Struthio camelus: one gene and its partner. The protein of the gene in region 2 interacts with the protein of the main gene of each other region in a pairwise test. Links are inferred from orthologs where the notes say so. Each region holds a gene or a part of one and is shown on either strand. Other genes may lie near its edges.

Evidence for each region.
Region 1: the proteins of TAX1BP1 (region 2) and GABARAPL1 interact in binary tests that used the Homo sapiens proteins (3 or more experiments, as listed by UniProt). The link is inferred for Struthio camelus from reciprocal best matches to the Homo sapiens genes TAX1BP1 and GABARAPL1.

Annotation. Positions count from the first base shown.
Region 1 is NC_090942.1:89,401,298-89,408,303, forward strand, and holds the start of GABARAPL1 (gamma-aminobutyric acid receptor-associated protein-like 1), read left to right. Parts: upstream 1-3,983; 5' UTR 3,984-4,376; coding exon 4,377-4,466; intron 4,467-7,006. UniProt on the Homo sapiens protein: Ubiquitin-like modifier that increases cell-surface expression of kappa-type opioid receptor through facilitating anterograde intracellular trafficking of the receptor. Involved in formation of autophagosomal vacuoles.
Region 2 is NC_090943.1:39,461,941-39,469,942, forward strand, and holds the start of TAX1BP1 (tax1-binding protein 1), read left to right. Parts: upstream 1-4,999; 5' UTR 5,000-5,164; intron 5,165-5,186; exon of another isoform or gene 5,187-5,548; intron 5,549-5,599; exon of another isoform or gene 5,600-5,720; intron 5,721-8,002.

The DNA.
Region 1 (7,006 bases), on a different chromosome or scaffold from region 2:
TTAAAAAAAGTCAGCCTCAGGAGCTACAAAAGGAAAAAAATATCCAGGGGGAGGTACTAATACAATAAATATTCAAGGAGATTCAGAGTTTCAAGCAGCTGACAGGAATAAACAGCAACTCCAGCAAGTTCCCAAGAGACATCCACCTGGATAACACCTCCAAGACACCTAGGGCAAACAATAGGGATATTTTTACTGTGAAGTTATTGAATTTTAGTCATTAGTGCAGATACACCCAAGTCAGTTTCACCTCCCAGTACTGCACTGCAAAGCTCCTAGGAGTGCTCCTGGAGCGCTGTGTTGTACAGCATGGGCTACAAAACCATCTGGGAACCTGCATAAATATTTTTATCTCCTGTTTATCTGGCTACAACACTGGCAATGCAATCTCTTTCAAAGTGAACCTATCTGCTCACATGATCTGCAGACACAGCAATGTGCTACAAGTTCAAACTGTTCAGACATTCTAGGTTAAAAGTACATTGTTTGGCCACTTTGTGGACCAGTTTGTGCTGGGCATCCAGTGTGGGAAAACCAGCGAACCTCATCTCCAATTCCTCCTTTTAGCACACAGACCTAGAACGTGGGGTTTGTCACATGCATATGGCTTGGCATTTTAATAGGAATTCAAAGTCAGATGATTACCTGCTTGTCACTTCTTCTGCATGTATCATCTTCCTGCTTGCTGTTGTGGCAGTGACGTTACTGTTATTATTGAATAAGTGGAGACAGTTGGGAATTCAGTGCCTGACAGGGAGGAAGCAGGAAGTGGGAGGAGTGAGTCTTGTGGCTGCACATCTAGGGCTGCATCTTCATGGCAGAAACAGTTCCGTAAGGAGATTTGTGATCCCAACACAGGATTTGTTGGGGAGGAAGAGCCACCTGGCAATGCTCTCACTGGCTATACCAGAGCAGGGAAGAACACCAAAGCTCCTCCCTGGTTTGTCAACAAAATTTCAAACAAGAGCCTTGTCCAACTGCTCTGTATATAGTCCTGTAGTGGGACACAGCAATTACAGCAGGACAACAGGAGAACTGATTTGTTAAAATGGACAGAATAGGTTGGCAGTCTGCGTGAAATAGGCTGGAAAAATTCCGTTCTCTTGTGTCCTTGAGGAAAAGGCATCTACACCATTACACACCTTCAATACACTTGCCAACTTTTGTGCTGCATGCAATTAGGAGGCAAGGAGGAGGACAAACACGGGTAGTACAGAAAGGTGCTGCGCCATGAAACTAGAATTTTCCCCAGGTGTAACCCCTGGTCTTTCTTCAGTCTAGGCCTTGCTATGGTACTGCACAAAAATGATCCCTTGTTTCTGACTCACCATTCTGAGATCCTCTGACACTACCTGCAGCCACGGGGAAGTATTCACATGTCTTGGGACAGACAGAAACAAGCTGATGATGCTTCCTGTACTAATAATGTGCATATGAACTAGTGAAGGCTGAGACACACTGATCTATGCCATTCCCACTGCACTGCAGTACCATTAAGAGGTGCTGGTACGTGCCTATTGGAATAGATTGTTGTGCTATGCAGAAAGTCACATTATACAGTGTGGAGCAGTAAAAACTTAGACACAAAAGCCTCTGCCAGAGTCCGTGAGGGGTACACGAACATCCGAAAGTAGATGTCTATATTCAGGAGAGAAAAATCACAACCCATGCCTATTTATCTCCGTTGACTCTAAAGGCAACTTAAGATGACAAGCTCAGCTGTATGCACCCATGCTGTTAAGTGTAGGTGAGATTTCTGATTCACTTTCTCATGCCAGACAAGAGTACCTGGAAACTGCCACCATCTGAACGTACCTGCATCAAAGAAAATTTATTTCCGCCACACCTATCTTACCCATATGCAAAATCAAGGAGATTAGGGTGCAACAGGGCTTGGAGAAAGAAAACTATCAAAGGACCTCTGAGTTCAGGCTCAGAGGCTGCCTGCTTTTGAAAGCAAAAGTGGATAGTATATGACACAACTCTCTACAAGGCAGAGGGGACAGACTAATATCCTGGATATGCTGTGGAAATTTGTAACAGGCTCCTTCCTAACCCTGGTGTCAGCATCTCAGTTGCACCCTGCAGGCAACTCAGGTGTGCATATTAGTAATATAGAGATACAGCCACCAGTAGTGTCTGAACTATGAGTTACTTGGGGCAACTAAAGGATTTATGTGAGTACCTCTAGAAAAAGACCAGAGTTTTATGCACCCTTGACTCTGTTTTTATCACTAAGGAACATCTTTGATCCAGCTACTGCTTACTCTTCAATTTCTTTCTTTTTTTTTGTTTTTTTGTGCTTCCAGAATCAAGCTGACTCTTCACTTTAGTCTGGATTTCTTCTGCATTGATCACGCGCTAGAAAGAGGGTGCCTGCAAAATAGCAACGTTTTTTCTTATCCTGGTTAATTCTGATGCAACACATTGGCAGAACGTTGAATGAGATATGGGGAACCCAGGTTCTCTCACTTATGCCACTGGTGTAGCCTTGGACACATCAAGCATTCAAGGCAGTTCATTGTCCTGCTCAGCACCTCCTACTTCAATTAAAATTACTACACAAATAAAAGATAATCCTTGAAAAAGTTCTGCTCCTCTGCATGAGGCATGAATTGAGAGACTTAGAACATTTTGATATGCTCCCATTCAGTTGTTCATTTTCCCCAGGATAGCAGCAATTAATTTTTGTACTGATTTGAGCATGGTGATCCATTCATTAGTACCTTCCTTTCTTCTAGTCACTAAATACTGTGAGCCTAACTGCCCCCCAAAAACCCAAAGATATTCCAAATATGTTATCTGTTGAGTAACTGGGCTAAAATTGCCCCACTGCTTTGGCTTGTTTGCAAACAGTTCACTTTAACTGTGTGCTGTTTGTAATGTGCCTCTGGTCAGGTGCATTACACATCACACTTTCCGCCCCTTATTATTTAACTGAAACTTCATAAACAGGAGAATAATCCAGACCCAATAATGACAATGTTAGTCACTAAAACTTGTATTTTTTTCCTCTTAGATCTGGCAGCCACTTAAATAGGTCAGTCTCGTCACCTCTGTTTTAAATAAGTGGAAGCAGAGGCATTCAAGCATTACTTGGGGAAACTGAGGCCTGGGGACATGCAGCAGCTGATCCAGGCCAGAGCCCTGCAAGCCATGCTCCACAGCCCCACTGCCCACCTTCACGGCCATCAAAGGGAAATTCTCCGAATTTGCCCTGTTCTTAAGATAGGTCGGGGGTTGTCCAAGTGCCAATGAATTACAGATCCGCTAGCTGCTGTGAGCCTTGCCGTGCAGCTCTTTTTGTGACAGCGCTCCCCGGGCTGTGTGCCTGCCCACTCTGCTCCCAGGGCAGGGAGCCCCCGGCCAGGGCAGCTGTCCCTTCATGGGCCTTGTACACCACGGTGTGTTAAACAGCACTGGCAAGGAGGGAGAAGCAGCATGGCTGCCTGCAACCCGCAGAGATGGATATCTCCGTTCATGCGGCTGCTCGGCTGTATTCATAACCCCTGAGTCATGCTGGAGATAGTGACACTGCTCAATTATAGGCTCATTTTGCCTTTGTATTGTGTTTGGTGGGGGGAGGGGGAATGAGGCGACAACCAGTACAGTACAGTAAAAAATATATATATATAATAATAACAATGATTAAAAAAAACCACAACCCTGCATGGCACGGAGTGTGACACAAGCCCTGCGCAAGAGAGGGAGCAAGAGCTGCAGCTGTCACCTGCTCCCAAGCGAAAGCAGGCCCCAACTCTGCCCGCTGCCTTGCACGGCGCTGACCCCTTGCCCCGCGCCCCGCGGCTGCCCGCGCTGCAGGGCGCGGACACCGCCGTGCCCTTGTCCTGCCGCACTGTTATGATTTTGCCGCATGCCGCCCTCCCCCCGCCAAGGCAGTGGTTTCGCCCGGGAGCCCTTTGTAGCGAGGGCGTCGCCCACGAGCTGATGGGGGGGTACCCTGCGCGCCCCCTACCCGCCGTGGGGCGCGGGCCAGCCCCTGCTCCCGCCCGCGGGAGCCTGGCGCTGCCGCGGGGGCGCCGGAGGGACGGGCCGGTAGAGACCGCCGTCGTCGGCCCCGCACGCTGCGGCAGCCGCTCCTCCTCCCCCCCCCCTCGGGTGCAGTGGAACCGTCTGGAATGACGGCAGAGGTGCCTCCCTGTGACGTCACAATGCCCGATTTGCCCCAGCGCTGTTTCTGTGTTCCAGGGCGGCCGCGTCCTGCCGCAGGTGGGCGCGGCGCGGCGCGGGGGTCGCAGCGGCCGCGCAAGCTCCGCACGGCTCCGTGGCCCGCTGCGTTGCGAAGTGCCCAGTCGTAGCTCACGAAGCGGCAGCAGCCCTCGGAGGGGCAGCTGACGCTTGGGCAGTACACCAGCATGAAGTTCCAGTACAAAGAAGACCATCCTTTCGAGTACAGGAAAAAGGAAGGGGAGAAAATCAGAAAGAAATATCCCGACAGAGTCCCTGTGAGTGCGGTGTGTGAATGTATACTCGGACAGCAGCAGGGGATTGCAAGATTGCTGCTTGCGGGGCTTGCCTTACATGTCATGCTGCCATTCTGCCTCTCTTTGTTCTCATTATCAATTGTTGTCCTTTTTTCCCCCCCCTTTATTAAAGGGAAAGCAAATTAGATTAGTAAGCATGATGTTTACCTTGCTGTTCTAAATCCAGCCTGCTTTTCTCTTTAGTGCAAACCTATGATTATTTTTTATGTTGGTCTCTATTAGCAGTAGGTATGAGGATGGCAGGGTGTAATATACCCTCCCTCTTTCAGGAATCTGCAGCAATTTGACAGCTCGAATGCTGCTAATCTTTCTATGGCAGCCTGTGTGCATGGGGCTGGGGGGTGGGGAAGGAGCTTATCATCTGCTCTGTGAAAATGGAGGAGAACAACGAGTTTACCATGTACTCTTCATAGAAAACTAGAGCTGTATCCATGTTGTCAGATATGTTCCCTTTATTTTTTATTTTACTTTCTTTTGGCCTGTCTTTTCAGTATAGTCTTGTTCTGTTCTTGTGCTTTACATGAGAGAAAAACGACACTAATTTCTTAGCCTTCTGCCCTCCTGTTTAACCTTCTTATGGAAAAAGCATCACTTAGGAAACAAGGTTTTGATCTCTTAGCCAAACTTTACTTCCTCCTCCTTAGGTCCCTTTGGAATGCCTGTGGAAGGCTTCTAGTTTTATAATTACTGGTAATAATTGGAAAAAAAGAAATGATATATCAAATTAATTGTGTGGGTTTTTTTTTCCTATTAAATGTTTTGCAAATGTTCTTTCTTTCCATCCCCACTGGAGAGATCTGTCCTAGATTTACTGTCCGGGGTACTGAACTGAGACTCCCCTGTGAATCTAAGCCTAAGGGAAAACAGTTATGCTACATGTTTTCCGGAGAGACCAGCACCATTTTGTATCTTAGAGTGGCCTACAGCTGGGCTTGTAAAAATGCTGGAAAGTCAGAATTTGGGTGCATTTGGCTGAGCTGCAAATTCAGGGACCCTTGGCCTAGCATAGCACGTTGAGAATACAGCTAGACAATGATGAAGTGGACACTCTTGCGAGTTTTAAGATGAGGACCACAGAAAATGCTCTAGGTCAGAAGTGAGATAAACTATAAACTGAAGATTAGCATGGCAGTTTGTGCTCCAGATCCTGAGAGATGTGTCCAGAAAAGCCATATGTGGGGAGCCAAGGACCAGACCTGGTCTGGCAAGAGGTAAACGAGATCAAGGTAGAGGGGCATGAGCAGAACTGTAGGGAAGAAACTGGGACCCAAAGAGCAAGGTGTGCTGCAGTTAAGGATAAATGAGAAAATCTGCATGGGGAGGCCCAGATGTGGATTATGAGGGGGAAGCCTGTTGAGAGAGCTGCATATGGAACAGATGAATGCAGCTGACAGGGTTCTTTGCATCACATGTCTCTGCCCTTCCTGACAGCAGGATCCTTGAAGACGACATCCCTTTGGCTGCCTACATGGTAGTGCCCTGATGCATCTCAGCGTTTTGCTGAGATTATAATGTTGGCACAGTCCCATGTTACCGCTGACACCACCCAGCAACAACAAATATGCAGATAATCTGTTGCTACACTTTGGATTTTCTTTGTCGGGGTAGGGGGGGAGGGGGTGTGTGCATGCATGGGTGCGTGAAGGTTTTAGTACTTCAGAAAGAGATACCTGTGTTACCAGGCAAACTAACTGCTGTTGATAATCAGTTTAGCAAAGCACCTTCTTTCCTGCTCTGCTTCTTTGCAAGAGGGAGACTTGTTAAGCTCAGTGATTATCTAATTTGAATGCTTCCTGGGGATTTAGAAGCCCCAGCATTCTCCCTTCTTCCTCACAGGCACGATATACCTTTGGATTTCACCACCATCTTCTTTTCCTTTATTATCTAACAACCAATTACGATCTATCCTGTTGGGTCAGGATGGGCATATCACTGCTGCTGGCTAACAGTTCTACGTGTCTGCAGTTTTGGTAATTGTGAAGAAAGAAAGGTTTCTTTTCATTGCAATTTATTGTGTTAGATAATGCCTTGTAGTATGTGTGGGTAAAAGAACCTGCAAAGTGCTATTGCTGTTGAGCCGACATCTATTCAGTGAGATCTTGAAACTATCCTTCCTTCACAGCATTGTCCTATGTCAATTGCCTCTGCATAGAAATACATATCCTATCACAACGTATCTCAGAGAGCTTGAATGACTTGTACTAATCGAGGTGCTTGAAAAATCAGGTTCTTGAAAAGGCAGTGATGGCCATACTTCTATTTTAAAAACAAATTTAAATTTTCAGGACTTTGGGCCATGTTGAAAGCATCCAAATGAGGCACAGTGAAGAGATGGCCAAGTTAGTATCTCTATGGTGAGGCATTCTTTGCAGATACTCACTTGGTGTAGATAGAGTAGACCTGGATTATTATGGCACTTTGCCCAGGCTAAAACAGGCCCATCATCATAACACAGGAAACGCCATCTGAACATGAGAAAATGCTTCTTCACTATGAGGGTG
Region 2 (8,002 bases):
GTAAGAAGAATGCTACAAGGAAAAAAAAAACTTGCAAACATCATAAACAAGAAATGAAACACTCCCCCAGACCTGGGTCTCCAGTGCACACATATTAATTACACACCAGAGAGTAAAGCCTCAGTATGTGCAAGCATTTAATTCACTATTTGCATTTATTAAAAACATTCCTCTTCGCTTTAACAATACAGTAACCCAGCAGTGAAATAACAGCAATTCAAATGTGGTCATTTACAGACATGAGGTTTCTTATGCCCATTGTACAGTGCAATGTTGCCAAGTCTCACACCTTAGGAGTAAGCTCTTGCGCTCTCCTCTCTGTGTCACACATATGCATGCACACACATACAAAATTTACATGTCTGCTCTCACCTATACTCTTTTGGGAAAAGCCACAAATTTCATCAATCTCACTCATACAGATTTAAAAATCCTGGCAGCTTTTGAATAGCTTTTCTTCATCAGTTGCAATTAAGTGCTGGAAAAGAAATCCAAAATATACAGAGAGAGGCTTTCGCCCTAATAGTAAATGTTACCAATAGCGTGCAATTTCTAGTATGTTCCAAAGGTTTGCCACTCCATCTTTCTGAAAGGCAAAGTCTGTATGCCCCGTGATTAGATTTCCGTAAATGCTGAGCAATTCAGGGTTGTCAGCCATAATATAAAACATTATTTATAACTGTTTAACTGTTTCAAGAGTATAGTTAATAGTTTTCTGTAACGTGATCTTAAAGAAGTTGATTAAGTGTGCTTTACAACGTGACCAGAAAGAGCTTCCGATTAGTGACATAGTGATACATATATTTTACATCTCACATGGCCCATACTTTTAAAAGTTGGGAGTGTTGAAATAGGAGTTGAACCAAAATGAAATCAAATCATTAGAACTTGAGCATTTCCTTACCACACTTCATCAATATCATCATGTCATGCCAATACACTGAATATCTACAACATAAAGCACCTTTCTCAGGTACTAAAAATCATAAATATGTAATTTGTCTGTCACTCATACAAAGCAGAGATGGGCCTCAGGGGAAGAACTGAGGTCTGGAACCAAAACTCCTCATGGCTTTGGTTCAGGCCATAATATAGTTAGTAAACAGAAATAATATTAGGATCTGAATCTGAGCACATGTTCAAATACACCCAAGGTTAAACAGACGTGATGGGGCCCCATTTCTAATTTGAAGGCTATAAATTACTAAAGGAGCTCATATTTTTAAAAAGATACTGAAATTACGCAAAAAGTAAACGATTTCCAAATATTCAAAAAAGTCTGTTCCCCAAGAGGCTGTAACATGCCTTACACTTCCTTTGGCCATTCTGTTTAGTGTAGTTTTTATTCGTCACTTATCTCACGCCTGAGAAGGGACTTGTGCAGATTTCATGCGGACAAAGGAAGACTGAATGTAATTACAAAGCAGAGGGATTTTTACACTCTGTAAGTACCAGCCTGAATTTCAAACCTCTTCAGAATCTAGTAATGTTCAAATTCAATAACTGGATTCACATACATTTTTACCTTATTTAGTGTTTCTGTCAAAACCACAATTATCAACTTGCCATTGTTTTTCTGTCCTCATATTTACACGCTTAAGAAATGTAGACACTTAAGAGAAGAGTTCTACCAGCTTTGTATTTCCAAATAAATACTCTGGTGAGATATTTTTCATCAACAATATAAGACAGATATTCTTTAGTAATTGTATATTTATGTAAATAAAAAGAGAGAAAACTGGGGTTTTTTTCAGCCTTAAGAGGAGAAGGCTATAGGGAGATCTTTTTGCCACCTACAGGTAAGTGAAGGATGTATAAAAGATGGAGCCAAACACTTTTCAGAGGTGCACAGAGAAAGAACAAACGGTAACAGATAAAATTGGAATGCAGGAAATTTACAGTTACATATTATATTATATATTACATATTATACATCATATTATATATTACAAATATATTACACATATGTTATAATATTATATATTACAAAAATATACAATTTTTTTTTTTTTTTTTTTACAATTAGAGTTGTCAAACACTGGAACAGGTTCTCTAAGCAGCTGTCAAATCTTCACCCTTGGAGATGCTAAAAACTTGTCTGGCCAAGGCCCCAAGCAACCAGCTCTAATAAAGTTCTGCTTTGGAGGTCACTTCCAAACTTCATGGTTCTGATTCTATGACATACATGCGGCTAATTGTATCAAAAGATACTTGACATTCACTGATTTTGCCTTTCAAAAAATCAAAATATTGGCCAAACACTGATTCTACATGCTTAGAGTACAATTCTGATATACATGATAAACATATGATTTGGTGAAAAATACCGGCTTGATCGACAACCCCCTCCTCCTGTGTTCTCATTTAAATCAGTGGGGCTGAAAAGGTGAAAGTCAAGCCAGAATCTGAGATAGGATTAACACCATCATGCCTGTAACAAGCTTTTCTAATTGAATTAGTGTATTAGTATTAGCCACCCACATGACTCACCAGAAATGTTGATATCAAACTTACAATACTAAGTATTTTGCAGCAAATGTAGGCAAAGACAATAACAATGTTTTGCTACTCAAGAGCAAGCTTTCCAAAATATTTATGTCACATGGATGAATTTCAGGAGATAGTATCTAATCTTCCTTGCCTAGAAAATTCAGACTGATTAAGGCATTTAACCATTAATTCTAAGACCAAGTACAAGTTTCACCAGTGCCAAGCACAATTTTCTCAGTCCAAACCTTTGTTTGTACCAGTACAGACACACTGACTGTTGATCTCGGAGTCACAGTGCACAGCTTGTCAATGTGGGTGAAGTCCTTCATATCTCAAAGCAGGACGAACAAAATAAGAAAAGGCTCTGAACACTCTCTATATAGGATATTTATGAATTCTAGAGGGTGAGGCTGGTATCTAAACTTAGGATACAAATATGTAAATAAGAATGCTAATTAACTCATTTAATTATTTCAGTAAAAAATCTGCTTAATTTGAATAACAGAAGGACCAGTTTTAGACTTACACAATCAAGATACAGAGTTAAAGAAATTACATATTTTTCTGAAAGCTGTGGCTGTAAGTACAAGCAAAGCCAGGATTATTCCTGATCTATTTTTCCTTAATTAGTTTACATTGTACATGTGACAACAGGCATATATAGTTTGTTTTGCCTCCTTATACATGCATTTAGCAATGGAAATAACTTAATACTGAATTATTACTAAACAATATCTCTTTTGGCTGAATGAACATTTACGAACTGAGTACAGAAATACATGAGGATTCTTTAGAAACTCAGAACTGAGGATAAAGTTTTTTTATTAGGAAATGGAGGGGTTTTCCAGGCATTCACTGTAAAAATTACGCTAGTTGCCAAAGAACATCTTTATTTCAAACTACCCATTATATTCCCATAAACTAGCATCATAATGACGTTAAGTGAAAGCAAAACTGCTTGCTAGTGTCATCAACGTTTACACTACCCAGCTAGTGACTGTAAAACCTCCTTTCTTTCCGCATTCCAGACCACAGAACAGTGCCTTGAGACTCTTTAACAGCCCTGTATCACATGTGATACAGGGCAAAGAGCAGTGAGGAGAAAAAATGGAGGACAGAGATAAGAAAAAATAGGTCTCCCCACCTATTTATTGCTTTTCTGATTAACGCATCAGCTTCATTTTCCATTACAAACATCCATCTGGCCTTAAAGGAGAAGACTACCTCCTATACACCTCTCGTGTCTTATAAAAGGATCTGCAAGTAAAATGCAAGGCATTTACTGGTTTCCATGGATAGTGGAATATACGTTTACTGTAAGAATTATGAATTATATATAAAAATCAAAGGGTTACTTACATAATAACCTGTGGTAGAAGTGAAGTCCTAAGAATAATATTTTAATATTGCTTCCAGTGACAAGAAGTGCTAAACAGAAGCAAAAAAAAGATTCATTTTGATTACTTGAAATGACAATTTTAGTGGTCCAGTTTATTTTTGTTTCCGTTAGGACTGACCATGAGAAAGCTATGAAAATCTATGACCATGAAAAACTTGCCAAAAAATAAGGCCTATGGTAAGCCAATAATTTTGTCATAATATGCCTCTCAAAATAAGCTGTTGAGAACATACATGAAAATACAGAAGAAAGAGCGGATCGTAAGGAGGCAAAGGTTTTAAAGACAACTTTCAGTAATGATCCACGTTCAGGGTACTGCAGGAAGTCCAGAATACTGATGATTACAGATAAGTATTTGTTGTCACTCAGCCTCGTTCTTCTGATACACGATCTAACGCTCGACTTTGGATAAAAATCAAGTAGACTCAGTGTATTTATTAGATAATGTACTTTAATGGAGATACGCCAATTTACGCAAGCAGAAGAACTGCATATACTGTAAGTATTTAATATCACTCTTATCTCACTCCTTGGTTGGTTTGGGAAGACCTGCAAAAGCTGGGAGATTAATAGTAGTGACTTATGAGGTGCAAGCACGCGTGTTTTGGATGGAAAAAGAGGTGATAAAATTAGGGTATGTGAGTATTATAGAATGGTCTAAGCAATGGTCTAAGAACTAATATGCAGAGAACTTTTGCAGGGGGCAGGTGCATTTTATGGAAGTAACAGCTGCACAGTTTTGCATATGCTAGGAATACCAGCTTGGCTAGGCTTTCTCACCCCTCTCCTTCCCTGAAGTACGCGCACCGTCTTGCATAACGAAGCAAGCTGTGCAACATGCTTTTTACGTGTGGTGTAAGCCACGGCTCCAGTGCCAGCTGGGCTGACGCTGGCAGGCTGGATACCTAGGGGCTGAACGGGAATGGTAAAGGGCGGGAGTGCCCTGAGATGTGGTGTCCAGGACGTGGCGGGGGGAAGAATCCTTGGAGAAACAGACCTGGGTGTTGCAGCGCCGGGCCGACGTGCGAGAAGCCTCATGACGACGCTAACCGCCGCCGCCCTCCGTCCCCGGGCGGGCCGGCCCGGGCCGGACCTCCGAGCAGCCCTTCCGACGCCCGCCGCCCCACGCCGGCTCCAGCCGGTTCCCGCTAACGGCCCGCCCCGCGGAGGGGGAGGGGCGGGGTTGGAAGTGACGCGAGCGGGAGGGCGGGGTCGTGAGGCGTCGATGGCGGAGGCCCCATGTTGATGTCCCCGGCGTCCTCCGCGCCTGCCTAGGTAAGGGGCCCTCTGCGGCCGGGGGGAGGAGGGGGGGACGACGACGAACGGGTCCGGCGCCTTCTTTCTCTCCTGCTTTCCTCCTCTTCCTCCTGCCGCGGGGGCGGGCGCGCTGTTAAACCCAGGGCTTCTGTTCTGCGCCATCTGGGTGCCTCTCTTCCTCCCCCCCCGCCCAGCTGCCTTGGACGGCTGGTAGTAGTGTGGGGGAGAGAGGAGCCGCGGCCGTTGGGGAGGGCGGCGCGAGGGGCGCGGCGGGGCAGGGGCGGCCGTTGGCCCCCGCCGCGGCAGCTGCGCAGGCGGTGCCGGAGGCTTTGCGGAGGCCGAGGGCGAAGGTGATTCGGGCCGGACAGGCGAGGCCGCGCGGGCGGCCGGCGGGGCAGGCAGGTAGGCCCGCGGAGTGGGAGGGAGGGCCCGGCAGGTAGGGGCCGGCGGAGTCAGGTGCGCCGCTGGCCGGGCCGTGCGGCTCGTCTTGTTTTCGTGTTTCCTGCCAGACAAGCTTGTCCTCCTTCGGTGCTTTTCGGCGTGTTAAAAGCGGAACGCCTCTTTCGGCCTCTCGGTGAGAATGGCTTGTCACGTCAGTAATAAAGCCTAAACGTAGCTCTTCCTCCTCCTCCTCCTCCTCCCCCCCCGGCTTTTCTCACACCGGTAGCTGTGAGCTAACTAAGCAAGCACCGAACATCCCCTAAGCTATTCTTGAACTGTTAGTGGATATCGGCTTCACCTAAGCTCCGAGGATTTTGCTGCTGGTGGACAGTAATCCCAGGTGATTCTGCTGGTCAGCACAAGTTCAAATTCGTAGTTCTGCTTTGGACTTGGAAAACAGATTCCCTTTATTAATGGTTTCAATAAAGATAATGCTCAGCTGTGGTAGCTGGCTGACCAGTATGCAGAAATGAATGCTTTGGGTTTTTTGTAATGTTTTCTTGTAATAAACTTCCCGGTATTTGAAATAGACCTATTTCAAAAAATGTTGAATTCCATTGCTTTTGTTATTAATGCTTTGCTTATTTTTTAACTTATCCTAGGTAACAAAAAACGGATACAGTCTGTTTCATGTCATTATTATTTAGCTTCAGAGACTACTAAATTATTAAAAATGAATGGGTTTATTACACTTGAAAAAAATAGTGACTATTCTGTTTTTTGGGGGGAGGGTTGTAAAAAACAGTTTTTTCTAAAGTTTATGGTTTGGAATGTTTTTGAGAGGTGTCTTGGATATAACTTTCTGATTGGGGGGGAGTGGGAATTTTCAGAGTTGTGCTAAGCTGTAGAACTTGCTACGCTTCTCTGTACCCTGGGGCTCTATAACAGACTGGATTTACGTGTATTCCCAAAAGATGTACTTCTTTATTGTCTCTAAAAAAGTTTTGTCTTTTCATATTTATTCGGATTCTTGTTTGTGTAAGTTTTTATCTTTGTCTAGTCTTTATGTCTGTTAATTTTTACTAGTAAGGCATTTTACATTTTTTTACTTGTGTTGTTCAGGGTACAAAACTGCTTTTTATTTAACATCCAATATACCAAAATAATGCTATGGCTGTCCATATGTACTACGTGTGTTACACTAAATGGGATGGTAAGAGGCTTAAAACACTGAGGGCTTAACTTAAGAGGTAAACAGAGATTTTTTTCTACTTGTTCAGACAGATGAGTATTTTTTTATTCCAGAGTGCATTTTATTTCAGAAAATGTGAGCTTTTCTTATTTCTTCACTGTTGCAAAGAAATTTTAAAAGGCTCTAGGAAATATACAGACAGTTCTTAATTGAGACTTGAAGTGGCCCATCCCTCTTTGGGATTGATTTCGTCATATATCTTCAAAAAATATTATCTCACACACTTGGCAGTAATCTCATTCAGGGTACATATTTGCTTGATCAGCATGAATTTATTTTTAATAGCGGTTGCAAGAACAAAGCAGCTCTTTTGGCCAGAAATGTAGTGTTAAATATATAAGGCCCTAATCCTCCTAATACCAGATGTTTTGACAAACTTATGATTGTAGACTGAAATCAGACAGTTGAAACTTAACCAGTTGTCCATCTTATCTTTTTGACAGAGGTGGCCGAATCTAAGGAAGGGAAGTTCTTGGTCTGTTTATGAAGCATCTCTTGCATTACTGTAGTTTTTTAGGGTAGTGTAACCTGAATGAGGTGGTGAATGTGATAAATGCTTCTACGATCTGGTTGAATTCAGTGTTAATCCATCCAACTTGCATATGCACCTGAATGTTCCCACTATCATCAAGTTCACTGTTTATGGCAGTAAAATTAAAAATGCAGGGCTAGGGGCGTATGTGTTAAAGCACAGTACAAGATGCCCACAGACTTCTATTTTCCTGAAGAGAGTAAACTCTTTGTCTAAACAGTTTTTTTTTTTTTAAATAAACTTTCTTGTTTGTTAAAAATGTCTTAAAATGAAAAATTGTTAGTTTTGCTGAGAGAAAAAAATATTTATACGTAAAAATGCTGTCAAAAGCATTAAGTAGCACAAATTCTGGGAAGAGTTTTAAAGTAAGGAAAATTATGGAACTTTGTTTCTCCTTCCCAGCAAGATTCAGAAACATTAAGTTTATTTCATGCAAGTCAGAACCCTTCTTGATTTTTTTCCTATCACTGCTTTTGCTCCCTACTTTCTGCTGCTGTTTCTGAGGTATAGTGTTGGGGGCATTCAGCCCAGGGATGTCTTTTCTGTGATGACACCAATATGAAGAGATGGCTACTCTTTCATTATGAGAAGTGATTGTTTTGGAGTGATGCTGAGGCAGTGTGCTTGGGAGACCTTGACCTATTGCTGTCTGGTTTTGGAACAGCAGAATTAGTTCTTAAACTTCTGTCTT